Zea mays: one gene and its partner. Each later gene encodes a partner of the first gene's protein in a complex. Links are inferred from orthologs where the notes say so. Each region holds a gene or a part of one and is shown in the gene's direction. Other genes may lie near its edges. The genes, in order: uncharacterized protein LOC100501347 and Nucleolar complex protein 2 homolog-like.

The links.
Region 2: uncharacterized protein LOC100501347 (region 1) and Nucleolar complex protein 2 homolog-like share a complex: the UniProt entries of both Arabidopsis thaliana proteins name them as parts of the nucleolar complex. The link is inferred for Zea mays from reciprocal best matches to the Arabidopsis thaliana genes AT1G79150 and AT2G18220.

The regions. Positions count from the first base shown.
Region 1 is NC_050096.1:74,285,215-74,289,680, reverse strand, and holds the start of uncharacterized protein LOC100501347, read left to right. Parts: upstream 1-1,434; 5' UTR 1,435-1,582; coding exon 1,583-1,761; intron 1,762-1,869; coding exon 1,870-2,051; intron 2,052-2,344; coding exon 2,345-2,541; intron 2,542-3,084; coding exon 3,085-3,293; intron 3,294-3,380; coding exon 3,381-3,483; intron 3,484-3,841; coding exon 3,842-4,005; intron 4,006-4,466. UniProt on the Arabidopsis thaliana protein: May be required for synthesis of 60S ribosomal subunits and the transport of pre-ribosomes from the nucleoplasm to the cytoplasm. Also required for initiation of DNA replication.
Region 2 is NC_050100.1:25,926,328-25,930,714, forward strand, and holds the start of Nucleolar complex protein 2 homolog-like, read left to right. Parts: upstream 1-1,403; 5' UTR 1,404-1,495; coding exon 1,496-1,511; intron 1,512-1,634; coding exon 1,635-1,771; intron 1,772-2,759; coding exon 2,760-2,837; intron 2,838-2,908; coding exon 2,909-3,421; intron 3,422-3,533; coding exon 3,534-3,848; intron 3,849-3,935; coding exon 3,936-3,992; intron 3,993-4,387. UniProt on the Arabidopsis thaliana protein: Together with SWA2, probably involved in pre-ribosome export from the nucleus to the cytoplasm.

The DNA.
Region 1 (4,466 bases):
GCTCAGCCCCGGAAGACGACGAACTCCGCTTCGCCTGACCCCAGGGCTCGGACTCGGGCTCAGCCCCGGAAGACGACGAACTCCGCTTCGCCCGACCCCAGGGCTCGGACTCGGGCTCAGCCCCGGAAGACGACGAACTCCGCTTCGCCTGACCCCAGGGCTCGGACTCAGCCCTAGCCTCAGCCGACGGTCTCCGCCTCGCCCGACCCAGGGGCTCGAACTCGACCTCAGCCTCAGAAGACAGACTCGACCTCGACCTCGGAGGAGCCTCCACATCGCCCAACCCAGGGCACGGACCGACCACGTCAACAGGAGGCGCCATCATTATCCTACCCCAAGCTGACTCAGGCTACGGGGAACAAGACCGACGTCCCATCTGGCTCGCTCCACCAGACAAGTAATGATGGTGCCCCACACGCTCTATGACGACGGCGGCTCTCAGCCCCCTTACGGAAGCAAGAGGACGTCAGCAAGGACTCGACAACCCCGACAGCTGTCCTTCCGCCAGGCTCCAGCGCTCCTCCGACGGCCACGACACCACACGAACCGGGTGCCAAGACCTCTCCGGCTGCCACAATGGCATGTACTTAGGGCGCTAGCTCTCCTCCGCTAGACACGTTAGCACACTGCTACACCCCCATTGTACACCTGGATCCTCTCTTTGCACTTATAAGAGGAAGGACCAGGGCCCTCTTACAGAGGGTTGGCCGCGTGGGGGAAAGGACGGGACAGACGCTCACGTGAGGCCGCTCGCTCCCTCCCGCGTGGACGCTTGTAACCCCCTACTGCAAGTGCACCCGACCTGGGCGCGGGATAAACACGAAGGCCGCGAGATTTCCACCTCTTACGCCCGTCTCCCTCCGGCTGCCTTTCCCCCCTTCGCGCTCCGTCTCGCGCCGACCCATCTGGGCTGGGGCACGCGGCGACAGTTTACTCGTCGGTCCAGGGACCCCCCGGTCTTGAAACGCCGACAGTAGCCTACCCCAACTTGCTTGAGACTAAAAGGCTATGTTGATGTTGATGATGATGTAGGGAGGGGATACATTTTATGAATTGGATGCATGCCCTAGTTGGTCATGCCAGAATTTGGCCATTCTCAAATCAGGTCATTTTTTTACTCCAAATCTTGGCCTACAACCAAATATGATATGTCAAACTTTGGTTTTGATATTTGTTGGCACATGATCAATTTTAGCCCTATATATTTTCGTTTTTTATATAACCGCCTATTCAGAAAAGAAAAAAAGAACCATTATTTCTGATTCTTTCAACCGCCGTTTCAAAATTCCCAAGGGCAAGTAGAGAAGAATCGAATGCTGTGATTATAATCCAATCGAATCCAAAGAAGAAGAAAAAAATAAGGCCTTTCCGGCCCGGTTATAGTATTCAGCAGGCCCGGTTCAGGACCAAACCAGCGGCCCACCAGACCAAGCACGCTTTCTTCTTCCTCTACTCGCGCCGCCGCGTCTCAAGTCTCAACGCTGCGCCAAAACGGCAAAACCCTACCCTGACCTGAACCCCAAACCCGCCGCGCCTCCTCCTTTCTCGTACTGCAATTCGGGACTAGCCGCCGCCAGTCTCGATGGGGAAGAGGAGCGGCAGCAGTAGGAAGGACAAGAACAAGGTCATTCTCCCACCGGAGCTGCCGCCGGAAATACACGACGATGAGGTGGATGTCAGCGAGGAAGACATCGAGTTCTATGCCACCGACAGCAGTAACGTTACACCCTTCCGCCACTTCGACAAGAAGTCCATCGACAGGTTGGTGTCGCTGGGCTCCGGGACGCTGCGCCTCCCAATTCCTCACTTCCCTCCCTTGTTGTTGCATTGCTGTTGATTGAGCGTAGAATTTCCATTTGGTTCGTGAAGGTATGTCGGGAGGGTTGCCGGGCGCGACGAGGGCGAGGTCGAGCGCCTCTACGAAGAGCGCCAGAAGCGGAAGGCCACAGAATCGTCGGGGAGACCCCGCGAGGATGATGATTATTTGGAGGTCGACCCCGTCGACGCACTCCCCACCAAGACGCTGCAAGGGGAGCTCGTCTACAATAGAGGTAAACCGTTCGTGGTTCCAGTAGATACACAATGCCAGTGGCTAATCATAACTATCAAGTCCGAGTTTCTAGTAACGTGATTATTGTAACGACTTTTTAACCTGTGCAAAACTGGAATGTCCTGTAAATTGTAATGCACTTGCAGTTAATAAAACATGTTATCACTTGCAAATGACATTTTTACACATTGGCGTCCGATTATTGAAGAATAATGACGGTGTGTTTTTTCAATTTTGTTCTGTTTATGGTGTAATAGTCACATAATTTTGTAACATGTATGTCATGACATGCAGCTAAGAAAGCAAGGTCTGAAGACAATTCCGGCAGTGTTAAGACTAAAGCTCAAGAGAATGGTGCAAATGCCAAGACAAATACTAAAAAAGATGAATCAAAGGGAAAATCTAAAAACAAAAAGGGAGATGATAATAAAGTGAAAAATATTCAATCCCAAACTGAAGTTCCAAAGGGACAACTACACTCAAATGTGCTGGTATTACTTCTGTTCCTTTTTATAAATATGCATCAGTCAAAATTCATTTTTGAAATCTCTTTTCTAGTTGCTCACTTACTCTAGTTCATTTTAGGGCTCAGGGTGTGTTGGTAGAATAAGTATACCAGTTTCTTGGTTCCTTTCTTTAGAGTAAGGATGTATATATCTGATCATACTATTGTCATGAAGCATGATTGTAATGGATTTTCTATGTTTGGTAGTAAATATGTAAGTATATTAGGCATATTCAACCTCAAGTAAGATATAGAAAGTGGTTTGTATGTACCCCAAACTGAAGGCTCGACAACTCGATGTTGACATAAGAATCATTCACAAAAAAACATAAAATACTATAGGCTGAATAAAACAGAAGATTTTGAGCCAAATTAACTATTTCGCCCATTTTTATCAAAGGTTGGGTCAATCTAACAAACTGCAGAAGTTTTAGTCTGGGAATGTTCTACTGATTTACCATAATCTCTACATTTTCTAATCAAAATTAATTCCCTCACATACCTTTTTACTATGCATGACACATGGCAGGAGGAAGTGAAGGAGGAACTTTCAGCTGAGGAATTATTCGAAAAAAAGAAGGCTCAACTTGCTGAACTGGGGATGTCTATGCTTGAAGATCCTGAGTCGAACATTAGATCTCTGAATGATATGCTAAGTATAAGCAATGACAGAGACCAAAAGGTTGTTAAACTTGGTGTGATGTCTTTGCTTGCTGTGTTTAAGGACGTTATTCCAAGGTATGTTGCAGTTAATTTTTGTTATATACCTTGGCTGGATTTGTTTCTTCCCAAGTCACTTATGCATGTTTTTTATGCACACTTCAGTTATCGGATTAGGCAGCTGACAGAAAAGGAGCTAGCAGTAGAAGTTTCGAAAGAAGTGAAGAAGACAAGATATTATGAGTACACACTTATTCGCTGCTACAAGGTCATGCTTTGGGTGTCCTTCATGCACAGTGATTTTTTTTCTGTCCATGAGCCCATGAACTATGCTAAAAGTAGATACTCCATCCATCCCAAAATATTAGTCATTTTAGCATTTTAATAGATCCATATAATACTCAATGTATGTGTTATATATATATATATATATAATATAATATGTCTAGATTCATTGTCATCCATTTGAATAGACAAAATTCAAGGGCTAAAACGACTAATATTTTGGGACGGAGGGAGTATTATTTACATACTGATTTGAACTGTTCTTCACCTTCGATTTTGGTGTTCTGGATATCTTCCAAAATTCTGATGGCCGAAGTTGGTTTTCTTTTGTGAATTTTCAGGCCTACCTGCAGAAATTGATATCGTTGGAGAAGCAGCCCTACTTTTATACTGTGGCTGTTCGTTGCATGTGTGCTTTATTAGACACTGCCCCACATTTTAACTTCCGTGAAAGCCTATTGGCTAGTGTGGTAAAAAATTTAAGCTCCTCAGATGATGTAGTAAGGTAAATACTCATTTTGCGTGTCAGTGTCAAGTCTTTGCCTGATCTGTTTTTTATTGATTAGATACAAATGTTTTCTCGATTAACATAGGACTACATCAAGTTTCAGCTTTGAGCCCTTATCTATTTGCCTTAGTGATAGATGAGGTCACGAGAGATATACACGGACTCAAGGAGATATCCCTTGGTGTATGCTTTTTGCTGACGATGTAGTTCTAGTAGATGAAAGCCGGGAAGGAGTAAACATGAAACTAGAGTTATGACGTCAGACCCTAGAGTCAAAAGGATTTAGAATTAGCAGGACCAAAATCGAGTATATGAGATGTGACTTTGGTACTACAATTAGTGAGGATGGAGATGTAAGCTTGGGAGGCCAGGTAGTACCAAAGGACACCTTCCATTATTTGGGATCGATGCTACAAAGAGATGATGATATTGATGAAGATGTTAGCCATAGAATCAAA
Region 2 (4,387 bases), on another chromosome or scaffold:
TGTTCGTTTTGCTTTCAATCCATGTAGATTAGGTGGGATCGTATGAGTTTAAATCTTAAATAAGTCAAAAATTTTTATAATTTGTTCAATCTCATCCAATTCATATAGGATAGGAATAACCGAACAAGGCCTAAGTATAGTTTGGAAACTTAAGGCATGTTTGGTTTGCTATTTAACTTACCACACTTTGCCTAATTTTTCTGTCTAAGGTTAGTTATTCAATTCGGACGACTAACCTTAGGCAAAGTGTGACATATTTAGCTAGGGATGAAAACGGTTTCGGAATTTTTCGGTATTCCGGAAACCGATTTCGAAATTTTTCGGTCGGATTCATCGGTAACGGTATTTTTCGAAAACGGAATCGGTTTTCGGAATTTTCTATCGGAATCGGTATCGGAATCGACGTGGTGTTTTACCGACCGTTTCCTTCGGTTACCGGTTTTTGTCGGAAATTACCGGATCTGTGTCTCGGAATTTTCCGGAATTGTGTCTCGGAATTTTTCGGAATTGTGTCTCGGAATTTTTCGGAATTTTCCAGCATGTGATTTTTCGCATCGTCTGTACGTCTCTAGATAAGGATTACTTATTTTTGTATTTTTTGGACACCTTTAGAATTTTTTTGGATAGATGGTGTTGGAAGGCAGTTGAGATTAACAATTTGGTCTTTTCCACACACTAGGTTTTAGGGTTTTCCTGTGAGGTTGTGAAAAACTCTTTATGTGAGGAAAAAATATTTCATAAGTAAGCATGCATGTCAGCTAGATCAAGTGGATATTATGAATTATGAACTTTGAGTCTATGAACTTGTGATCTTTATGAACTTATTTACTATGAACTTGTTATATTGTGAACTTGTGATCTTTGTACACTTTTTATATTATAAATTTTTAATCCTTGTGAACTTTTTATATTGTGAACTTGTTATATCATGAATTGTGAACTTGTGGTCTTTGTGATCTTTTGTCAACTTTGTTGTATTATGAAGTTTGATATATTCACCGATTGTATTTTAGATTCCGACCGTTACCGGTGTATTTTCCGCACCAAACTTTCGTTTCCGATGTTTCCGAAATATCGATATCATTTCCGTTTCCGGAGTTACCGTTTTCGATTTTGTTTCCGATAAAAAATATGAAAACGGTAATGGTTTTAGTGTTTACCGACCGTTTCTGACCGTTTTCATCTTTATATTTAGCTACGAACCAAACATGCCCTTAAATTTCCTTCGTGTTCGGAGAAGATTGAGCAAAAACATAGTTTATTTTCCCCTTAATTCCTTTTAATTCAGAGACGTTTTGAACTGGCCCTTATAGTAAAATCGACTCCCGGGGATTGGGCCCTAACCCGGCCAGTTCCGGCCCAAACGAGCAAGCCTTAAGCCCTTAACTGACGCTTGTGAGGGCGTCGGCAGTTCGCGACACCCCGTGCAGCCGTGCTCTTCCGCTTGAACTAGGGCGCCTCCGCCTCCGCGCCCGCGCCGCCGCCGGCTGTAGCCATGTCCGACGAATACGGTGGGCTCCTCATCCATCCACATTTCTGTGGGTTACTCTATGCTCTATTGCTATTGCGCTTGTTTAACTTGGGATTTTGATTGGTTTTCTTCCCCTTTCGCTGTGGTTTTGGCGGGGGATTAGTGGACTTGCCCGTCTCGGACGAGGATGAAGAAGAGCTCGAAGATGAGATGGATGATGGTGATGGGGAGAGTGGTGGTGGAAGCTCGAAGAAAAAGGCCAAGCAGCACGTGGAGCAGCTCAAGCGGCTGCAGCAAAAGGTTTGTCCCTGTCGCCTCCGGTTTATTGTTACTATTACTTAAAAATGATGCTTAACAGTGTAAGTGGATTTTTGATAGTTCCTGAATGTGCCTATTCTTTTCTTATGCTTTATTATTACTGGTTGCCCACCTGAGTATATGACTTTTAGGTTCGCCTGTGCCCTTGTGCTGTTTGTCCTGTAGATACTTTTAAATTGAATCTGCAAGCTGGTACGGTTGCCCTTGTGGACAGTAACTATTTTAATTGATTCAGAAATTGATTGCAGTCTGGCAATCTGCTGAGTTAATGTAGTATTTGAAACTGCTGATAGTAGGTATCGTAGAATGGGCTATAAAGTGACTGGCTGCAAAATAGTATTAGTTGGACCAACTTCCTTCAGAGGTGGATCTGTGTTATAGAGATAAGTTGAGAGGTGGACAATTGTGTAGAACGATGATGTTTTTCTATGTTCGTTTCATTCCCAATTTAACCATATTGTAATGGTAGTTATGCTACAAAATGAGTAAGGAATGCCACATAATAACTGTTTTGACCTAAACTGCTGTTGCATTAAATTTAACATCTTGCATACTCCAATAAGTGATCCCTTGAGCTTACACTCTAACTTTAAGGCTTGAATTGTCGCCTGCCCCATTCACTGATTGTGGAAATGGCATTGTCATAGGCTCATAACATTTGATTACTCACTCTGGCATAGCTTTCCTGGTTTTTACTTGCTCAATTTACATTCATTGGTTAGAAACAATAACATTCCCTGGTAGATTATTTTTGTATAGTATTGGTGTCCCGCTTATTATATCTGTTGCTTAAATCCTGAACTATGTTAACTAGGGTTGCACAGTTTAGCCTAAGGCCCACAAGTAGCTATTCGTTTTGAGAAATATGCATTTCTCCCCTTCCTAATTTCTGTCTGTCTGCTGCTGTGCTGCATGCCATAATATATGTTGGTTGTTTTTGAGGCTTATGTCCTTTTTTGATTTTATGTAGGATCCTGATTTCTATAAATATTTAGAAGAGTTTGATAAAGATTTGTTGGGATTTGATGATGATGATGATGAAATCGAGGTAAGCTGGTCCCTTTTTGTGAGTTTTCTATACTAGAATGATGAGTGGTCATTGTTCTACATTACATTTAGAACGACCGGGAGACTGGGGTTGAGGAGAAAGAGCAATATGTATCTAAAGAGGAACTGAAGCATGTGAAACCGATTACAATGGAAATGGTTGATTCCTGGTGCAACGGAGTAGAGAATGAAAAGATAGGTTCTATCCGTTCTATTCTTCAAGCTTTTCGCAGAGCCTGCCATTATGGTGAAGATCATGGGGACAATTCAACTCCGAAGCTCAGTGTCATGTCTGGCAGCGTACTTGATAAAGTTATGCACTTTGTTTTGAAACACATGGATAAAGTCCTCCGTCAATTACTTGGTGCCCCAAGCTATGGAGGGAAGAAAGAGGTAATCAGTGAGCTGATGCTGAGTAAGTCATGGAAGAGGCATGGTAATCTTATGAGGATCTATCTTGCCAATGCGCTTCATATGATAACAGAGATGACCGATGAGCAAATGATAGCATTTACTGTACACCGTGTCAGAGCATCAGCTGTTTTTCTGGCAGCTTTCCCATCGCTCCTGAGGAAGTATGTTAAGGTGTGTAGGTTACAATTTCTACTTTACCTTGGCTTTGAGTTATTTTTGGCATTGCTCTGCTATCTATCTACCAAGTTTGTTATTTACTTCTGTTTGCACGCTTCAATTGTAGGCTCTGCTCCATACCTGGGCTAGAGGACGAGGTGCAATGCCTCTTGTTTCTTTTATGTTCCTTCGAGACTTGTGCATTCAAGTAGGTTCAGATTGCCTTGATACTTGCCTCAAGGGTATCTATAAGGCTTATTTGGTGAACTGCAAACTGTCCAAATCTATCAGCGGATCAAAACAACAACACATTCAATTCCTTGGAAATTGTGTCAGAGAATTGTATAGTCTGGATCCACAAAGTGCGTATCAGCATGCTTTTGTTTTCATCCGTCAACTGGGGGTTATCCTAAGAGGAGCTCTTACTGAAAGGGGGCCAAAGGTATTCATTGAACTCATTGCCATGTACTGGAACTTTGTTGTCTACCTATGACCTGACAGATATTTGCCTCTCATTTTATTTTGAAAGTCAGTGAAGGACAAAAGGCAGAAAGAAAGTAGCAAATCATCGAAAAAACAAGCGGAGGTATTATTCATACTGCTACTCAATTACTGATACTCTATAACCTTTAAAACATCAGACCTTAAATAACTCCCCATATTCTTCCACCTGTTTTATTGAGAAAATCTCACCTTTACAAAATGCTATCGCCCCACCCCCAGTGTTTTTTTTTCTCGAACACGCAGGAGAGCTGCGTATCATTTCATTAAAAGAAGGATGATAATTACAATGACCTAAACACCACTTACACAAACACACACAAACAACACTAGTAATAACCACCTTCTAACCGGGGTTGAACACAAAAGCTAGGTCCGAAAGACGGGTCAAGCCTTTGGCCCCCCCCCCCCAAAACACCACATATTGAACTCATCACTGGCTGAGGTAAGCAATCTAGCTATAGAAGGCTGAGCACCATT